Linked DNA regions of Ovis aries. The protein of the gene in region 1 purifies or fractionates together with the protein of each later gene. This does not show direct contact. Links are inferred from orthologs where the notes say so. Each region holds a gene or a part of one and is shown in the gene's direction. Other genes may lie near its edges.

Evidence for each region.
Region 2: the proteins of COPG1 (region 1) and COPB1 fractionate together in Homo sapiens (co-fractionation; 11 studies listed by BioGRID and IntAct, counting the BioPlex papers as one, with this or other methods). This does not show direct contact. The link is inferred for Ovis aries from reciprocal best matches to the Homo sapiens genes COPG1 and COPB1.
Region 3: the proteins of COPG1 (region 1) and COPB2 purify together in Homo sapiens (co-immunoprecipitation; 8 studies listed by BioGRID and IntAct, counting the BioPlex papers as one, with this or other methods). This does not show direct contact. The link is inferred for Ovis aries from reciprocal best matches to the Homo sapiens genes COPG1 and COPB2.
Region 4: the proteins of COPG1 (region 1) and NUDCD1 purify together in Homo sapiens (affinity purification with mass spectrometry; 3 studies listed by BioGRID and IntAct, counting the BioPlex papers as one, with this or other methods). This does not show direct contact. The link is inferred for Ovis aries from reciprocal best matches to the Homo sapiens genes COPG1 and NUDCD1.
Region 5: the proteins of COPG1 (region 1) and ARCN1 purify together in Homo sapiens (affinity purification with mass spectrometry; 6 studies listed by BioGRID and IntAct, counting the BioPlex papers as one, with this or other methods). This does not show direct contact. The link is inferred for Ovis aries from reciprocal best matches to the Homo sapiens genes COPG1 and ARCN1.

What each region holds. Positions count from the first base shown.
Region 1 is NC_056072.1:59,028,645-59,032,568, forward strand, and holds part of COPG1 (coatomer subunit gamma-1), read left to right. Parts: coding exon 1-51; intron 52-399; coding exon 400-525; intron 526-816; coding exon 817-885; intron 886-2,513; coding exon 2,514-2,656; intron 2,657-2,925; coding exon 2,926-3,097; intron 3,098-3,877; coding exon 3,878-3,924. UniProt on the Homo sapiens protein: The coatomer is a cytosolic protein complex that binds to dilysine motifs and reversibly associates with Golgi non-clathrin-coated vesicles, which further mediate biosynthetic protein transport from the ER, via the Golgi up to the trans Golgi network.
Region 2 is NC_056068.1:38,014,456-38,017,729, forward strand, and holds the end of COPB1 (coatomer subunit beta), read left to right. Parts: intron 1-46; coding exon 47-136; intron 137-1,079; coding exon 1,080-1,235; intron 1,236-2,210; coding exon 2,211-2,270; 3' UTR 2,271-2,555; downstream 2,556-3,274. UniProt on the Homo sapiens protein: The coatomer is a cytosolic protein complex that binds to dilysine motifs and reversibly associates with Golgi non-clathrin-coated vesicles, which further mediate biosynthetic protein transport from the ER, via the Golgi up to the trans Golgi network.
Region 3 is NC_056054.1:250,327,413-250,331,336, forward strand, and holds part of COPB2 (coatomer subunit beta'), read left to right. Parts: intron 1-1,081; coding exon 1,082-1,168; intron 1,169-1,371; coding exon 1,372-1,498; intron 1,499-2,421; coding exon 2,422-2,570; intron 2,571-3,030; exon of another isoform or gene 3,031-3,200; intron 3,201-3,924. UniProt on the Homo sapiens protein: The coatomer is a cytosolic protein complex that binds to dilysine motifs and reversibly associates with Golgi non-clathrin-coated vesicles, which further mediate biosynthetic protein transport from the ER, via the Golgi up to the trans Golgi network.
Region 4 is NC_056062.1:68,043,177-68,047,100, forward strand, and holds part of NUDCD1 (nudC domain-containing protein 1), read left to right. Parts: intron 1-3,472; coding exon 3,473-3,653; intron 3,654-3,924.
Region 5 is NC_056068.1:28,984,040-28,987,963, forward strand, and holds part of ARCN1 (coatomer subunit delta), read left to right. Parts: intron 1-1,747; coding exon 1,748-1,895; intron 1,896-2,192; coding exon 2,193-2,301; intron 2,302-3,924. UniProt on the Homo sapiens protein: Component of the coatomer, a cytosolic protein complex that binds to dilysine motifs and reversibly associates with Golgi non-clathrin-coated vesicles, which further mediate biosynthetic protein transport from the ER, via the Golgi up to the trans Golgi network.

The sequences.
Region 1 (3,924 bases):
ACGTCCTGGAGCAGAAGCAGAAGGCCCTCAACGCAGGCTATATCCTGAATGGTGAGTCCTCCTCGCCCGACCACTCCCCTCGCCCCCGTCCCGGGCGGCGGCCTTCCCGGGCGGCGTGCCCTCCGCTGGCCTCCCGCGGCAACTGCAGGGCGTCACTGTCATCTCAGGAGGCGCCGGACCCCAAGGGCGGGAGCAGCCCAGAGAGCTGAGCCGCTCGCCAGTCCTACGAACCTGCCGAGCACTCCCCGCTGTGTCCAAGCCCCTGTCCCGTGTCCATTCGCTCCTCGCAACAGTGCTGCAGAGGAGGGTGTCCTGCGAAGTCGGGGCTCGGCAGTCTCGCTGGTTTCCTCAGGGTCCTACAGCCTTGACCCCCGGCCCCCGGCTCGCTCTGGCCTCTAGGTCTGACCGTGTCCATCCCGGGTCTGGAGAGGGCACTGCAGCAGTACACGCTGGAGCCGTCGGAGAAGCCCTTCGACCTCAAGTCCGTGCCCCTGGCCACTGCGCCCATGGCAGAGCAGAGGACAGGTCAGGCGCACCTGTGTCCTTCAGAGGCCCTTGGGCCCAGGCCTCCTCTGGAGGGTCTGCCTGGCCTGCGAGGCCACCGCAGCTGCCCAGGGTAGAAGGGGCTGTGCTGGGCGGGGGGAGTCCCCCTGCCTGCCTCTGGCCCTGGAGAGGAAGCCCCCTGCACACAGTCACGCGCACCGTCTCCCGTGCTCCGTGCTTCACAGTGGGAGGTGGGGATCACACTTCCCGAGTAATGGCGCTGTGGTCCATGTGCCCTGGCCATCTCTGAGCTATGCATGCTTGTTCCCGCAGAAAGCACCCCGGTCACCGCCGCCAAGCAGCCCGAGAAGGTGGCTGCCACCCGGCAGGAGATCTTCCAGGGTGAGTGAGGGGGCTCGCAGGCCGCGGCGACTCTTCCCGCAGGAGCTGAGATCGGGGCTCCCCTGCGTGCTGGCTCTGAGTGTGTTCAGACAGCGTGCTCGACCCTTAGTGGAGGTTGGTGCACCCATTTGGGATCTGAGGATTTGGGTGTTCAGAGAGACAGGGTGATTTGCCCCAGTTTGCACAGCACCAGGGGGAGGGCAGAAACAAAGTCCAGCTCCAGCTGGCTTAGAGCCGCTTTGGCCTTGTTCTGAGTGCTGCAGGCCCTGGGCCCAGTCGGTTCGGGACGTCTGGCGCTCCTCAGCGGAGCTGAGGGCACGCCACAGTCCTGTGTCTCGGGCTCCAAATGTGCTCCGGCCACCTTGTCTGGCAGGGTTTGGTGAGGATTCCGTCTGTCCGTCTGCTCCCGCATTTCTCAGGGGAGAGGCTGTGTGTCTAGTTGGCAGACCACGTTGTCCATCAGCTTCCTGCCTTCGAGTCCCAGCAGCAGCCTCCCGTCCAGGTGGCCCCAGCCCGCCGCCCCGACTCGCCTCCTCTGCTGCCCTGCTGCGTGCTCTCGCAGCTTCTGACCTGTTTTCTGTCCGTAACTGCACTGGTGCCGGCCTCCTCCTAGCAGGCTCCCGATGACTGTGGGATTCATTTCAAGTCCGCCTTGTCCTTTCCACTCCCGAACCTGTCTTCCACCAACACGCCATCTCTCAGGTGTGGCTGAACCAGGACCCTGAGCTGGCTGGCGTCGCTCTCCCTGCAGGCTTTCCCTGTGTGTCCTTCCCTCTTGCTGCCGGCAGAGATCAGCACGAACTTGGTGGTTTCACTCAAGGCTGCTCCACCCCATGTCCTGAGGCCTGAGTTCAGCCTCGTTACGGGCGGAAAGAGCAGGATAATGATGATACTGCCTGCCTTCTCCCTCTGTCCCTGAAGTCCTACTAAGTCTAGGGCAGAGGATCATACCGCCTCAGGTAGAGTTCTTTTCCACGTGGAGGTCAGTGTAGCCGGGAAGGTGAGTGACGGATCTTGACTCATGGTCCTCAGGCATCCGTGTGCGTCAGAGTCACGAGGGGAAGCTTGTTCGAGATGCAGGAGGGGGCCTCTGACGGGCGTGTCTGGGGAGGCCTGAGGATCTGCACTGTGGCCATGCCCGCAGCCCCGGGTGTTTCTGGAGCAGTGACTCCTGAGCACAGCGGGGAGAGCAGGGCCAGCTGGGAGCGCCTCGTTCTCCCAGGCGCACCCGGGCCGGAAGCTGGCCTGCACCGGGTGCCCGCCGGCCGCTCTGAGCCGGGCGTTCTGTGACTGAATCTGCCCCCTCTCCTTTGGGGCCGCTTGTCCCGACAGCCACGTGTCTGAGAGCAGTCTGTCCTTCTGCCTGGCTCCGTGGCCAGCAGCGTTCGCTTCCTCTTTGTCTTTCCCTGTCTCCCTCTTCTGAGCACCCTTGCTGAGTTTCTAAGCTTGAGGGGGTCTCTGGATGGATGAGGCCGGGCCGTGGGCCTGACGTCCATCGGTTGGTCTGGCGTCCCATGTGGGACAGCGGGGAGTGCTCGGGTGTCTCGGGGAACCGAGAGAGAGAGGCCTGAGGACTGATCAGAGACCCCGCTGAGCTGCTGGGTGAATGCGCGGCCTATGGGTTTCAGAGCAGCTGGCGGCCGTGCCCGAGTTCCAGGGGCTGGGGCCCCTCTTCAAGTCCGCGCCTGAGCCCGTGGCCCTCACCGAGTCGGAGACGGAGTACGTCGTCCGCTGCACAAAGCACACCTTCGTGGACCACATGGTCTTCCAGGTGAGCGGGGGCCCTCCGGGGGGACCCCCATGCCGAGTGGCTGGAGCCGGGCTCGATGCCGGCTCCAGCTGCTACGTGTCGAGTCCCTGACTCAGGGCCTGTGCGGCTCCCGCGTGTCCACTTGGAGACAGGGGGTCTGGGCAGGGGGCCTGGGTCGAGAGTCAGGGTGGCCCTGGGGTAGGAGGCAGGGCTCCCGACGCCTCCTCTGCAACTCGGGGGGCCCCCCACCCCCCGGCTCAGCGTCTCGGCCCCTCTGCTCCCTGGTCCAGTTTGACTGCACGAACACCCTCAACGATCAGACCCTGGAGAACGTCACGGTGCAGATGGAGCCCACGGAGGCCTACGAGGTGCTGTGTTACGTGCCCGCCCGGAGCCTGCCCTACAACCAGCCCGGGACCTGCTACACGCTGGTGGCCCTGCCCAAGGAGGACCCCACGGCGGGTGAGCTCCCCCGGCCTCCCAGGCGCCCGTGGGTCGGGGTAGGGAGGGCGGCCTGTGCACCAGCTGTTCGTCTCTGGTCAGAGCTTCAGCTCCTCGAGGTCTGTCCAGAGCAGAAGGCCGGCCCGACCTGGGGCTTTGCACACAGCAGCTCGTTTCCTCCTCACACACCCTTGCGGGCAGCACTGCTCTCTCTCTCTGAGAGGGCCACCGAGATGGGGTAAACAGCTTGCCTGAGTTCACCAGGCTGCGAGGCCGAGCCCCGGCCCTCAGGCAGGACTCTGTCTCGGCCGTGAAAGAGCCAGAGAGAGGCACAGACGTGACCGTCTGAGTCCACTCCTCCCAGAGAGGCAGGGGCTTTTCCGGGCCTGGGGTGGTGGGCCTGGGCGGCATGTGGACGTGGCCAGCCTGAAGCGTCTGAGTCCACTCCTCCCAGAGAGGCAGGGGCTTTTCCGGGCCTGGGGTGGTGGGCCTGGGCGGCATGTGGACGTGGCCAGCCTGAAGCGTCTGAGTCCTCTCCTCCCAGAGAGGCAGGGGCTTTTCCGGGCCTGGGGCGGTGGGCCTGGGCGGCATGTGGACGTGGCCAGCCTGAAGCGTCTCTGCCACCCTTGCTTCTCTTTCCTCGTGAGGGCAGCTCCTCAGGCTCCTGCCTCCCCACGCCACTGCCCTTGGTCCAGACCCGCGGGCAGGCTGGCCTGGGCCGCTGGCGCGGTCGAGGCCTGGAGGACAGGCTGTGGCCGCCTGCCCGCAGAGGCCCCCAACGGCGTGCCTTCCCTCCTGCAGTGGCCTGCACGTTCAGCTGCATGATGAAGTTCACTGTCAAGGACTGC
Region 2 (3,274 bases), on another chromosome or scaffold:
GTTAAAAGTATAATCTCTTGACTTTTTTTTCTCTTCCTCTCTACAGGTGACGGTTAACACAAATATAGTTGATTTAAACGACTATTTACAGCACATATTAAAGTCAACCAACATGAAATGCCTCACTCCAGAGAAGGTAAGATTTGCCTGGGTACTTCTTAAATTTGATACAGAGTAATGATAGATTCTTGGCTTTCTTGTATTTCCTGTAGTATATTGTGTTTTTACTTAGCCTGAGAAAAGCAGTGTCATTCTGGGCTAGTTAGAAAAAAACTATCCTGTAGAATGTGTGAATCTGCTTACTGCTTTCTACTGAAATAAGAACAGTATCTGCTTGTCCCTAGAGCAGTGTCCCAACTAAATAGTCAGATTGACTTTTCTTTTCAGTCTTCTCCCTTTCAACTAAAGACTTATTCCAAAGTGTACTAGATTATCAAATGTCCATGACCTCTTCTTTTGATTCTGATTTTGGGTCAGAATATATCTGATCAAGTATGGAATTGTTAATATACTCTGATTTTCTGCTCTGTTTGTATATGTATGTAAAAAAAAAGACTAGAGAGAAAGACCAAAAACTGAAACTGAGAATGTAAGGAAGTTTTCTTTATAAAATGTCTGCTAATGTTGCGGTGCTGATTTAATCAGTGAAAGAATACTGCCAGACCAAATCAAGTAGGCTTTAATTCATGTTAGTCTATTCAACAGATATTGAGTCTGATAAATATTATATGCCGATACTCTGTGAGCTGCTGGATATACAATAATGAAGACAATAAAAATAGTCTCGTTCTTTATAGAGCTTAAGGTCTGGTGTAGGAGGCAGTCACACAACTCTAAACAAAGAATATAGAAATGCAAATTAGGATAAGTGCTATTTCTTTGATCAGGTTTATCGAGATACAGACACAGTAAAGCTCACACATTTTATGTGTATAGTTCTGTGAGTATCAACAAGTTCATACAGTCATGTATGAGTAAATGGTGAATAAGTTGCTTTAAGTGGTGATAATTTACCTGTGCTGTTTAGTCTTGCTTAAGTGTAGTTCTCTAGTATTGAGTTTCTCACAAATTTCTTTCAGGCACTTTCTGGTTACTGTGGCTTTATGGCAGCCAACCTCTATGCTCGTTCCATATTTGGAGAAGATGCACTTGCAAATGTTAGCATTGAGAAGCCAATACAGCAGGGACCAGAGGCCCCTGTTACTGGCCACATAAGAATCCGTGCAAAGAGTCAGGTAACAGATAAATAAATATAATAAATATTTTATATTTATGATATTAATTTTATATTTATAACAATATATTATTTTATATCTATAATATATACTATTTTAATATTTCTAATAATTATATATAATATATATGCATCTAATGCAACGTCACTCTGGCTCAGACAGTAAAGAATCCGCCTGCAATACAGGAGACCTAGGTTCGATCCCTGAGTCAGGAAGATCCCCTACAGGAGGGCATGGCAGCCCACTCCAGTATTCTTGCCTGGAGAATCCCCATGGACAGATGAGCCTGGTGGGCCACAATCCATGGGGTCACAAAGAGTTGGACACAACTGAGCAACTAAGCACACACACATATTTATGATAATCATACTTGGTAAAGAATCCACCTGCAATGCAGGAAACCCTGGTTCGATTCCTGGGTTGAGAAGATCTGCTAGAGAAGGGATAGGCTACCCACTTCAGTATTCTTGGGCTTCCCTGGTGACTCAGCTGGTAAAGAAGCTGCCTGCAGTGCAGGAGACCTGGATTTGATCCCTGGATTGGGAAGATGAGAAGGGAAAGGCTACCCACTCCCATATTCTGGCTGGGAGAATTCCATGGACCATATAGTCCATGGAGTCACAAAGAGTCAGACATGACTGAGCAGCTTTCGCTTTCACTTTTCACTCTTGAAATATAACTCCTTCCTTTAATAAATGGCCCACCTTTTGGGTCTGTCATTCTGGTTTATTTGCAATCAGATTAATTCCTATGGAGTGTTTCTGAATGTATTCTGTAGTTTTTTGAAATCTAGTGACTCTATAAATCTAGCGCTACAAGTACTTAACCAAGTAAAGTTTTGTTGAGTCTGTTTTGTACGTCTTAGTGTCAGTGTTGATGTGGTATCTTTGAATGGGGGCTTGGTAAGATGGAATAACCTACTGATTACATATAGTTTTAATAATTATGTATAAACATCTTCATTCTTTCTTACAGGGAATGGCCTTAAGTCTTGGAGATAAAATCAACTTGTCTCAGAAGAAAAATAGTATATAAGAATAAACAAAAGTCTTTGCAGCTTTACAGTTAAAATTTAGGTATGGGCTTACTGGACTCCAACATCTTTTGTACTCTTTTTGTGCTTTGTGTTATATAGAATCTGAGTTCATGCTGAATGCATTCCAGCCAATAATTTATAGCCTTTCCCTTAAATCAAGATTGATTTTAAAATTATAGTTTGTCTTTTGTCTTAACAGTTTTGAATGCTGTCCTCAAAGTATATAATGTTTCTCACATGTATCAAGACCATTTTCACAGTACAATAAACAGATCTATTCCTAAGTCTTTTGTTGTTTTATGAATAAATGTGTAATTACATAATTTTAGGTAACGATGAATTTCTTTTAGTTGCATTATAGATCTCTATTATAAATTTAAATTGCTGTTTGAGTTGTGAATATATGTGATATGCAATGAGATAGACTTTGATTTACTTGATTAATGGTTACTGATTTAACATTCTGACATCATTGTATCCAAAAATGCCTCATCATGTTCTAAAGGGCTTTTCTTTGAAATTTAGGTCCTAGAAGAAAGTATCAAATACCTTGAGAAAACAGATCCATGTTCATTTTATCTTTTAATTAATTTTATTGGCGTATAATTGATTTACAATGTTGTGTTAGTTTCTGCTGTACAACAAAGTGAATCAGCTGTATGTGTACATATATCCCCTTTTTCTTAAGATTTCCTTCCCATGTAAGTCACCACAGAGCATTGAATAGTTTCTTGTGCTATACAGTAGGTACTCGTTAGTTGTCTATTTATACATAGTAGTCTATATATATATATTCTAATCTCTCCATACTCCCACTCCCCTCTTCCCCCTTGGTATCCATATGTTTGTTCTTTACATCTGTATGTCTATTTCTGCTTTGCAAATAAGTTCATCTGTAAAAATTTTTCTAGACTCCACATATAAGTGACGTTATATGATATTTATTTTTCTGGCATCACTATATATGACAGTCTCTGGGTCCATCCATGTCTCTGAAAGTGGC
Region 3 (3,924 bases), on another chromosome or scaffold:
GCCGCAACAACTGAGCCCACATGCCACAACTGCTGAAGCATGTGCACCTTTGAGCCTTTGCTCTGCTTTAAGAAAGGCCACTACAATGAGAGCCCATGCACAACAACTAGAGAAGAGCCCCCACTCTCCACAACTAGAGAAAAACCTGTGCAGCAGTGAAGACCCAGAACAGCCAAAAAATAAATTACATATAAAAAGAATGAAATAATTTTTTTAAAGGGATAGTTTGACTTTCAGAATTTTAAAGAACAAGGTATCAAAGTGGGAGGACAACGAAATGTATTCATTGCTGTTCTTTCTGGCACGGTCTTCTAGTTTTCCACCTTTATCCTGTGTGTATAATTCTTTTCTGAGCAGCTTTCTATCCTGTGTATATAACTATTCTGAGCAGCTTTAAAGGACATCTTAATCACTGTGAAGAATTAGGAATCACTTAGTTCATCACTAAAAAGAAACAGTTTCTGTATGGAAGTATCTTGCTGAAGTATACAAAAGAATTGTATATTGTTTATAAGTTTATTTTATGAGTTTATGGGTTTAATTTTTAAAAGAAGAAAACTAAGAGCTAATTCATTCAATAAATACTTATTACATGTGGGTGGTTTTTCATCCACTGTTCTTAGGCTCTAGGTATACAGTGGTGAATAAGATTCCCACCCTTGGGGGCTTAGCAGGAAAGACTGACAGTAAGCATATAATTACGAAAGTGCTATGTTGTGAAAGTGGAGTATAAGGTTCTTTGGGTGGGTTTTCAGGTGGAGGGAATGGGAGCAAAGGTAAGGCTGAGAGTAGCTGAGGATGGGGCTAGAGAAGTAGGGAAGGACTGGAGCACAGAGGATGGGGAACTTCATCTTGTGGATATTTGCTTTCCTTTTTTCTTTTATAAGTATTTTAGGTTTGAATCTGTTAAAGAAAAGATGATTGGTCAATGTTTCCCATTCAACTGCTTTTATATTTTAGCTAGAGAATATTTTTAAGATTAGAAGTGATCTAAATAATTGGATGTTTTAAATATAACAGAATAGATTTTTCAGTTGTTTTTTCATAACTCAAAGTGGTATGTTCTTGTTACATTTTTAAGACACTGGTGAAAACATTTGAAGTATGTGATCTTCCTGTCCGAGCTGCTAAGTTTGTTGCAAGGAAGAATTGGGTTGTAACAGGAGCGGTAAGTAAGCATGTGAATTTCTAATCCCATTTATGAATTGGTCAGTGATTACCTAAATGAGTTGCAGAATTTTGATTCTTGCTTTCTTTTGTTAATGAGTGCAGTGTTTTGAACCCTGGACTTTATACCTTGAGCCTGTAGTATATTTTTTTGTGCAATTTACTTCATAAGAGTAATGATGGTTTTTAAATTTTCATTTCTAGGATGACATGCAGATTAGAGTATTCAATTACAACACTCTGGAGAGAGTTCATATGTTTGAGGCACATTCAGACTACATTCGCTGTATTGCTGTTCATCCAACCCAGCCTTTCATTCTAACCAGCAGTGGTAAGAGATGACCCCTTTTGGTCATGTAGGTCTCTTTGAGTAATTCATTTTTATTTAGTGAGACGTGCAATTCATTTACTGCTGTTACAAGTAGAGTTCTGATTCCAAGCAGCCTTTAAACTATTTAAATCCATTAACGTTCTATCAGTGCTGCTTGCTTTTGTATTTTAATGACTATCAGCTCTACTTAGGATTTGTGTAGCAGTTGCTCCAATTCCTGTCAGGGAATACCTGAAGGTCTAGATGCTGGAACATCTGCTGAACAGAAAGCTAATTTATGTGTTGAGTGAGTGAATTTTTGGCAGATTGCCATATACTCTAGTCAGTTTTATCTTTATATTCAGACTAGTTTGCACCTTGGTATTATGTGTAAAGCAGTGGAGCTTTTTGGAAGGCAGTTAAAACAGGTTGCACTGAATTGGTAATAGCTCTTTGAAACATTTTTAAGTTAGAAATTGAGAAGTAATTCAGAACTTTTTTTAACCAATTGAAGCCTGGCGTGCTGCAGTCCATGGGGTGGAAAAGAGTCAGACATGACTAAGCAACTGAACTGATTAAAAGAGAAATGCTTGTTTCTGAAATAGTCATTGTCATCATTATTCAGTCATACTTAGACTCTAATTAAACTTGTGTTATTCTTTTATCATTCTGTAAAACCCATCGAGTCTGTTTTAAATTTCTTCCATGAAATTTGTATATTTGCTATTAGTAATGTCTTTTATCTCCATTCTTCAGAAAGTTAAAATTATTCTTAGAATGAGCATTTTGAAAAATCTGTTCAATTCTGATTCTGTGTCTGTAAGTCATGGAATATATGATTTGTGTTAGATTTTCTTCCTTAAAAAGGCACAGAGATTCTGCACCTTAGTTCTGAATGAAAGAAATAGATATTGCAACTAAGTGGAGACTTTCTTTTGATCTAGATGACATGCTTATTAAACTCTGGGACTGGGATAAAAAATGGTCTTGCTCACAAGTGTTTGAAGGACACACCCATTATGTAATGCAGATTGTGATCAACCCTAAAGATAACAACCAGTTTGCCAGTGCTTCTTTGGACAGGACAATCAAGGTAAGGTGCCCACTGTTTGTGTCAGTTATGCTTGTTGGTGAGATATAATTGTGTTAGGTATTTTACTGCTGGCTTCCTATCTGAGAAGTTTCTCTCAAAAGCTCATTTTGAAAAAAAAAAAAAAAAGCTCATTTTGAAGCAATATAGGACTTCTTATTTTGATTCAGAAGGGCATATTCTGTTTAGAAAAATGGTGTGGCAACTCAGTGCTCTTAATGGAGGGGTGTTTCTCCATGTGGAAGCAATATATAGTAAGAGTTTTAAACCTCTGCAAACCCAGAATAAGAAAATGCCTGTGTCTTCTCTAGGTCACTGTTTTCCTCTTTGTTAGTGTATTTGCTGTTGCCTTCTGCAGATTATTAATCTATTTCATTTACCTCCATTCTGTTTTTCTTACTCCATTTCTCCATACCACTGCCAGTTATCTTTCTAAAACGTGGGTTCCATCTTGTCAGTTCCCAATCTAAGGGTAAAGTCCAGATGCCTTGGTATGGAATATAAGGGTTTGCAAGACCAACCTTAGCTAATGTTACGAGACATCTCCTGTAAACCTGGTCTCCTCACCATTTTCTCGAGAAGCCGTGAATGTTCACAGAACCTTACCTCATTCAGCTGGGCCCAATGCCTACAGTATCCTTTATTCTCCCTTATTGATTTCTTTTCCTCTGGAGAATTACTCATCTTTCAAGGCTTAGCAGTTATTTACTCTGAGAAGCTCTCTTCAGCCATCCGTTTCACCCCTAGACAGAGCCATTCTCATCCCATTCCTTCCATTTTTGGGGGTCTCTATTATGGCCTTCCTGTTGAATAATAATGGAAAATCTTTATTCCCGACATGTTGATGTTTGGGGCAGGAACCGTATGTTACCCTCCTCCCACAAGCAGACACACATTAGCAAGCAGCACAGTGCCCTGTCTATATTAGATGCTTAATACATGTTGCAATGAGTGAAAATATATTCCTTTTCCCACTGTAGTACTTAAAATATATCTATATGCATAGATTTAACTTTGGTTACATGAATAGGCTTACATCTATATAACATTTTTATTAGTTTTCCTTTGACTTATATAAAATGTTATCTTCTGTTTGTCTGACAACTTACTATTAAATGGTACATGTTGACTATCTTAGGGCTTTGATTTACTTTATTATTTTTTTTCTTTTACTCAATTATCCTTGTTTTTGACATAATGTTGAAAACTTTGAAATTAGTTTAGAAGTTTCTTCACTAAATTAGATATAGCTTGAGGACAAAATTGTCCTTTGGCTCTAGTAAAGTTTGTTTACATATTTTTATACTCCCCACAGGGCCTCCCATGTAGTAGTCATACAAAATAAATATTTGTAAAG
Region 4 (3,924 bases), on another chromosome or scaffold:
AAACATTTTTATCAGACCAACAGGTGCCTGTAAACACTGGGCTTTAATTATTTGAGAGAAACAACAAGACCTTAGTGGTTTACCTTTCTTATTGTTATACCAGATCCTGCACTACCTAATTGCAGTGTGTTCAAAAAGTTAAACACAAAACACGATGAAATACCAGAACAACAGCCTGTTTATAGGAGGCCTTTGCAGTCAGTCACAGTTTTAAATATTCATTGGACATTGTGACATATTCTGTTTCTGCCTCCAATAATTTTTTCTTTTCTTTTTTGACTGAGGATATATGGTATATAGCACCCAGCTATCTGAAACAGTTGAAAAGAATTTGGAGAATGATGGACAGGAGCGATATGAATGAGAATGTATCTGTTATCAAGCTATGGGGATTCTGTTGGTGTAAGAAACACACTGACCCTCTTCACCTTCGGATTAAGAATAATACCACGTAGTCCATCAGAAGAAAATTCATATGGGTTTATAATTCATTTGGTTTCTGCTATGTATATCTCCTTAGTCCATATAAGTCCTTCAATAAGATTTTTAAAATAAATTAAAAATTGAATTTACTTCATATGTTCTTCAGTATATATACTGCCATAATGAAGTCAGTCCTCTCTGGGGAGGTGGGGACAGTGGGGAAATTATGGGACCAGGGGGTTAACTGAAGTGGAAGGGATACTGTGGGATAGTGGTCACTTTGAGAGAAATATATGAGTTTTAGGACTTTGGGGGAATTGGTGTAAGAGAGAAGGCTAAAGGTGGAAGTGATGGGGGCATGGTAGGGCATAAGGGGGCCCAGCAAGCGTGGTGGTGATGTCTGAAATGTAGAAGGAGAAGTGAAAGAAGGCAGGGCATGTGTGGCCTCTAACATGATGGGAGTGCTGTGTATCAACAGCTTCACAATTGATTTGCTAGGCTTGTTCAGGGGACTGGAAACGTCAACCTAAGAGTTTCTAAAAGTCCTGACATGGTCTCCTCTGGCCTTACATGAGCGAGAAAGAGGGGGAGGAAACAGGAATCTGGCTACTTGGACTTGGCAAAACTTACCATTTTTTCTTCCTACCCTTTTATTTATTCTTGTCCCCCAAACAGAAGCAAAACCCACTTAACCAAAAATGTGTCTATCTTCTCTATTTTGGGTATTTGAGGGAGGGCTCTCCCCTTACCTATGGAAGAATTTAGAATGGATTCCAAAGGTCTACTGTTTGAATAATTTTGGTAGAGTTGCTCAAACACAAAGGGAAACTAATGACATTTAAGCACATTTTTCTTTTTATTGAACTCTAGTTACAATTTGCAGTGTTTTGTTAGATTTGGTGTACAGCAAAGTGATTGAGCAAAGTGATTGAGTGATATATGTGTATATATATATACATATATATATGTATGTATGTATGTATGTATATTCTTTTCCATTGTAGTTTATTTCAAAGTATTGAATATAGGTCCCTATGTTATACAGTGGGAACTTTTTGTTTACCTATTTTATATATGGTAGTTTGTATATGATAATCCCAAATTCCTAATTTATCCCTCTTCCCCTTTGGTAACTATAAGTTTGTTTTCTGAGTGTTTTCCTGTTTTGTAAATCAGTTAATTTGTATCATGTTTTAGATAAGTGATATTGTGTGATATTCGTCTTTCTCTGTCTGACTTATTTCACTTAAGTTGGATAACCTTTGGGTCCATCCGTGTTGCTGCAGATGGCATTATTTATTCTTTTTATGGCTGAATAGTATTCCATTGTATGTATACCACATCCTTATCCATTCATCTGTTGATAGACATTTAGATTACTTCCATGTCTTGGCTATTTTAAGTACTCCTGCTGTGAGCATTAGGGTAATGCAACCTTTTTTTTAATAAGGCTTTCAGGTAGCAGCCCAGGTGATTCCAGATACAGGTTTAAAAAGAAAAAAAGAGCTAATTCTTGTGTTTCAGTTAGATTTGTATTCAAACTATTTATCTATTTATTTTTTCACTTATTTGAAAAACTTGTTTCGAAATCAGTCTTAAAACCTTTCCTGATCGATATTTAACAAAGATACAGTAGTCTTTTAGATTATGTGTTTTAAGAAGAATTTGATAAGATTTTGTACATCTTTCCATGATGCTTTGATTTGCTTTTTTTTTTTTCCTTAGAAGAAATTTCAATATTTAACAGTTAGTGGAATTATCTTTTTAGATGACATGAGATCTTTTGTTTTAGAACAGTAAGAAAGTTTTCATGATTTGTTCTCCAGTTCCTTTGACTCTTCAGTTCAGTTTAGTTGCTCAGTCATGTCCGACCCTTTGCGACCCCATGAATCGCAGCACGCCAGGCCTCCCTGTCTATCACCAACTCCCAGAGTTGACTCAGACTCACATCAATCGATTCGGTGATGCCATCCAGCCATCTCATCCTCTGTCGTCCCCTTCTCCTCTTGCCCCCAATCCCTCCCAGCATCAGAGTCATTTCCAATGAGTCAACTCTTCGCATGAGGTGGCCAAAGTACTGGAGTTTCAGCTTTAGCATCATTCCCTCCAAAGAACAGCCAGGGCTGATCTCCTTCAGAATGGACTGGTTGGATCTCCTTGCAGTCCATGGGACTCTCAACAGTCTTCTCCAACACCACAGTTCAAAAGCATTAATTCTTTGGCGCTCAGCCTTCTTCATAGTCCAACTCTCACATCCATACATGACCACTGGAAAAACCATAGCCTTGACTAGACGGACCTTTGTTGGCAAAGTAATATCTCTGCTCTTGAATATGCTATCTAGGTTGGTCATAACTTTTCTTCCAAGGAGTAAGCGTCTTTTAATTTCATGGCTGCAGTCACCATCTGCAGTGATTTTGGAGCCCAAAAAAATAAAGTCTGACACTGTACCTTTGTAAGTTTCCAGAAAACAAACAACACAAAGCAAACAAAAACAATAGGAAAGAAAGATATACGCACATATATACAAACAGTATTCAGAAACTAAGAAGAAGGCAGAAATAAATTAGAGATATGATTAATATATTAACATATAATATAAATGACTATTATAAATGGATGGATATAATATTATACAATATATTAATATATCTCAATAAATTAGATATGAGACAGGGGAAGAGATGCAGTAAGGGAATATTGACCTCATTTCCTCTGTACGGAGCACTCTTTTTCACTTGGCAATTCTTTTCTAGAGGATTGCTTTTAATTCCCTTTCTCTTGTAGATGCCATTTGGAGGCCCTTTTGTTTTCTGTGCTTACTGATCAGTTTTCTCTGTTAAACAAATAGATGTTTTCTAAAAGTTATTTCTTTAAGCTGTATTTTAAACTTATAAGCTTTATTTCAGGGCTTTTCTGTTCTTGTGTCCTTGCAGTAAACAGTATCCAAATTACTTGTTGGATTGTCAGAATTCTGTGTATTTCCTCTGTGCTCTATGCATTCATGTAATACGTTTTTGTGAATGCCATCTTTTTTTCTTTTTTGTAGATTGTATTTAATGAAGAGCTTGGGAGTCCTTTTATCATAATTCACAGTATCTCATTGCTGAAAGCTGAAGAACATGCAATAGCTACTCTCCTCCTTCGAATAGAGAAAGAGGAATTGGCTATGAAAGGAAGTGGTTTCTATGTTTCCTTGGAGTGGGTCACTATTAGTAAGAAATGTGAAGGTAAAACAACAAAATTCTGATCTCTCTGCAGTGGTTGCCATAATTCAGTAGGTTTTGAAATGCAAAGCTGTTCCTGTAAATGCTGTTTGCTTTTTCTTAAGCATTGTGTTGTGATTCTAGTACCTGCCACCCAATGGAATGAATATTTATAGGTAGTTTCTCCTTAGGTATGGATTATTTAAAAAAAAAAAAATTATGTGCTTCCACAGTTGAATACACCTTTTTTGTAAAAGGAGACACTACTACATATTTTGGAGAATTTAAAGTGTAT
Region 5 (3,924 bases), on another chromosome or scaffold:
GTTGTTTTTGGTACATTTTATTTACTTATTTTCGAAAATTTCATTTATTGATGGTTTGGGTGAGTCTTTGTTGCTGCATAGGCTGCTCTCTAGCTGTGGTGTCCAGGTTTCTCATTGCAGTGGCTTCTTTTGTTTCAGAGTACATGCTCTAGGTCCATGGGCTTCAGTGGTTGAAGCTTCCAGGCTCTAGGAAATAGGCTCAATAGTTTTGGTGCACAGGCTCAATAGTTGTAGCTCACAGGCTTAGTTGCTTCGTGGCATGTGGGATCTTCCCGAATCAGGGATTGGTCACCTGCATTGGCAGGTGGATTCTTTACCATTGAGCCACAGGAAGTCCTGTCTTATTTTATTTTTAAAAATTTTTGGTTGTGCTGTGTGAAGTATGGGATCTTAGTTCCCTGACCAGGTATCAAACCCACCTACTCTTCATTAGAAGTGGGGAGTCTTAACCACTGGACCACCAAGGAAGATTGTTATATTTTATTTAGATAGTTGATCTTACATCTCTTGTCACAAGAACCAGGCCTTTTCAGAGAAGAAGATGATTTTGTCTACTTTTTTCCCTGCCTCATAGTTCAGTTCAGTTCAGCTCAGTCATGTTCAATTCTTTGGGACTCCATGGACTGCAGCATGCCAGGCTTCCCTGTTCATCACCAACTCCCTGAACTTGCCCAAACTCATGTCCATAAAGTCAATGATGCCATCCAACCATCTCACCCTCTGTCATCCCCTTCTCCTCCTGCCTTCAGTCTTTCCCAGCATCAGGGTCTTTTCAAATGAATCACTTCTTCGCATCAGGTGGCCAAAGTATTGGAGTTTCAGCATCAGTCCTTCCAATGAATATTCAGGACTAATTTCCTTTAGGAATGACTGGTTGGATCTTCTTGCAGTTCAAGGGACTCTCAAGAGTCTTTTCCAACACCACAGTTGAAAAGCATAACCAACACACAATTGTCTTTTGGAAGTAGTGCTTATATTATTTGACAGTAGCATTGCTGGCTCGTAAAGTGTATATAGTCATCAATGCAAAAGTTTCTTCTTTTTCCTTTTTTCCCCTAATATGACTTCTTTAAAAAAGATTGGTCCATCTTATTTGGCCTGAGTTTGAACAACTTTAGCTCTCTACACAAAATTGCAAGTAAACTTTGCACAGAGCTTTTCCCTCTCCTTCGTTAGTGTAAGATGAGGACTACTGTGTGACAAAGATGGCGGATCAAACTTTGACCCTTCTCTTCTATTTGGCCAGCTTGGCCTCACCTTGAGGCTGCTCCCCCTAAAGTATTTTTGTAAAGGACTTGGCTGATGGTCTTTTAACTTTTTTAGTTACAAAATTACTAACTTGTTACTTACAAACAAAATGGTTTAGAGTAAAAATTACATTATTGCTATTTTTAAAATGTCTTAAACCTTTAAAAGTCTTTCAGGGACCTCCCTGGTGGTTCAGTAGTTAAGATTCCACCTTCCAATGCAGGGTTTGTGGGTTCAATCCCTGGTGGGGGAACTAAGATCCCATATGATGTGGGGTTGCTAAGCCTGCTCACCACAATGAAGACCCAGTGCAATCAACATTTTTTAAAACACAGTCTTTGAAGAAGGGAAATCTTTCTTCAAAATAAAAAATAATTGAAATTTTTTTACGCACCCTATTTTAGATGTTTAGATTATGGGCCATGTAAGACCAAAAGGAATTTATTTCCTGTCTTGTCATGTCTGAACCTCAGAAATTTTCTTTCCTTTCTCATTTCAGACACATCCAAATGTGGATAAAAAACTTTTCACTGCAGAATCTCTAATTGGTTTGAAGAATCCAGAGAAGTCATTTCCAGTCAACAGTGATGTAGGGGTGCTAAAGTGGAGACTACAGACCACAGAGGAATCTTTTATTCCACTGACAAGTAGGTGCCTCTGGCCAGTCCTACTAAGCTAGTCTGCACTGAAAATTAGAAATAGCCCTGACTTGTGCACTCTTATCCTTATTGCCATAATTCTTTTTGGCAAAGTGACCTTTTAAAATGGACTGTATTTTAATGATTAGATTTAATTTTTAATATCTTTAATTTTGAAACCATTGTTTCTAGTAGTTTACATTAGAATGTTTTAAGGCTTGCTGGTATCGGTTTTGATTTGCAGTCTTAACTTTGCTTCATTCTTTTCCTAATGTTCTAGTATACTTGCTTTGCTTTTGTCTTCAGTTAATTGCTGGCCCTCAGAAAGTGGAAATGGTTGTGATGTCAACATAGAATATGAGCTACAAGAAGATAATTTAGAACTGAATGATGTGATTATCACCATTCCACTCCCGTAAGTTCCCCATATAATCACTTTTTCTATAGTGAGCTTATAGAACTAGTCTTTTAGAACTCAGTTTTGGAGGCAACACTTAGCTGACTGTCCATGCTAAGATATATAAGATACAAAGGCCAGTTGTGAAAGAAGCCTGGTGCAAAAGACTGCATACTAACTGTATGATTCCATGTATAAGACATTCTGAAAAGGTAATACCCTTGGGACAGAAATCAGGCATTTGACTGCAGAGGAGCACAAGGAAGCTTTGGAGATGATGGAGATATTCTGTGACTTGATTGTAATGTGCTTACATTACAGTGTAATGTCAAAATGTATCCAACTGTATACTTTTGAAGGAGTGCATATTACTGACTTTAAAGCCAAACATACAAAGCTGGTTGTAGTTCTAAAGCTGTGTTTTCAGATGTTGGTCTTCAGTTTGTTCCTGTAGTAATGAAGGTTTCCAGAAGGAGGAGCCAGTTCTCTGTTCTGTTTTGCAACTCTTAAATAAGAAATTGAGTCTGTCAGACTGAATTCTTTTTTCACGGTCTTTGCTAAGTTACCAGCTAAAGATGAGAGTGATTTCAGGGTGCTATTCTTGGTGAAACAAGATATTTGCATTAGTTTCAGGAAATTTTCTGACAACTTCATTGAGGTATGGTTGACATGCAATAAACTACGTATGTTTAAATTGTACAATTGGATAAGTTTTGACCTATATGCACCTGTGAAACCTGATCACAATTAAAATAACAAAAATCCATCACCCCCAGAAGTTTAGTTCCAGTAAGTTTTGATGTATGCTTAAATGGCATACTTTCTAGGATCACCTAGAAAACTTTTATCTCCTCACTAGCATTTCTAGTGACTGAACTACTATTATTTCACCATTGAATCCCTGCTCCTCTCCTTTGCCTCTCAGCATCCCCATGATTAAATACAGGGCTTAATAATGAATACCTAGTAAGTATATTCTTAGTGTGTTTTTACTATTAAATTGCTCAGTTATTATTACAGAGAAAACAGTTTTAATTTAATATGCAGGTTTATTCAAATTAATTTTAAATTAATTTGAATTAAAATTAAATTAATTTATAGTTTGATTCAGGTCCTGACATGGCCAGGTCTGGTTTTAGTCACTCTTATTTCCATTTTTTAAAACATGATTTATTACCAGTGTCCCCTTTAATGGGCTAATCATCTTAATTCTTCACAGCTTGGTTGTTACTTCAGAACAATAGATGTCTGCCTTGAACCATCCTGAGACTTGGGCGTTGGTGACAGGTGTGGGTTTTATTTTGTCAAGATTTATTTTGCTAGACTATTTTTAGGATGCCACAAGTTTTAGGCCTCTCCATCTACCCTATAATTGTGGTTATGGTGGTTTCCTGTGTCTTAGTTCAATTTTGCAACAGTCTCCAGAAGAGACCCTTGGACAGCACTTTACCCTTTTGTCTAGAACTGATCAAATTAGAGCTCAGAACCAGAATGGGAACAAGGGGAAAGGGAAGAAACATATATACAGCTGGGACCATAAAAGAGTTAATTGTGTTATCTCACCCTTTATCAAAGTTTTTCTGGTCTCCCTTATTTACCAAGCCCTAATGCAAACATTGGATGTCACTGGTGAATTAAAAG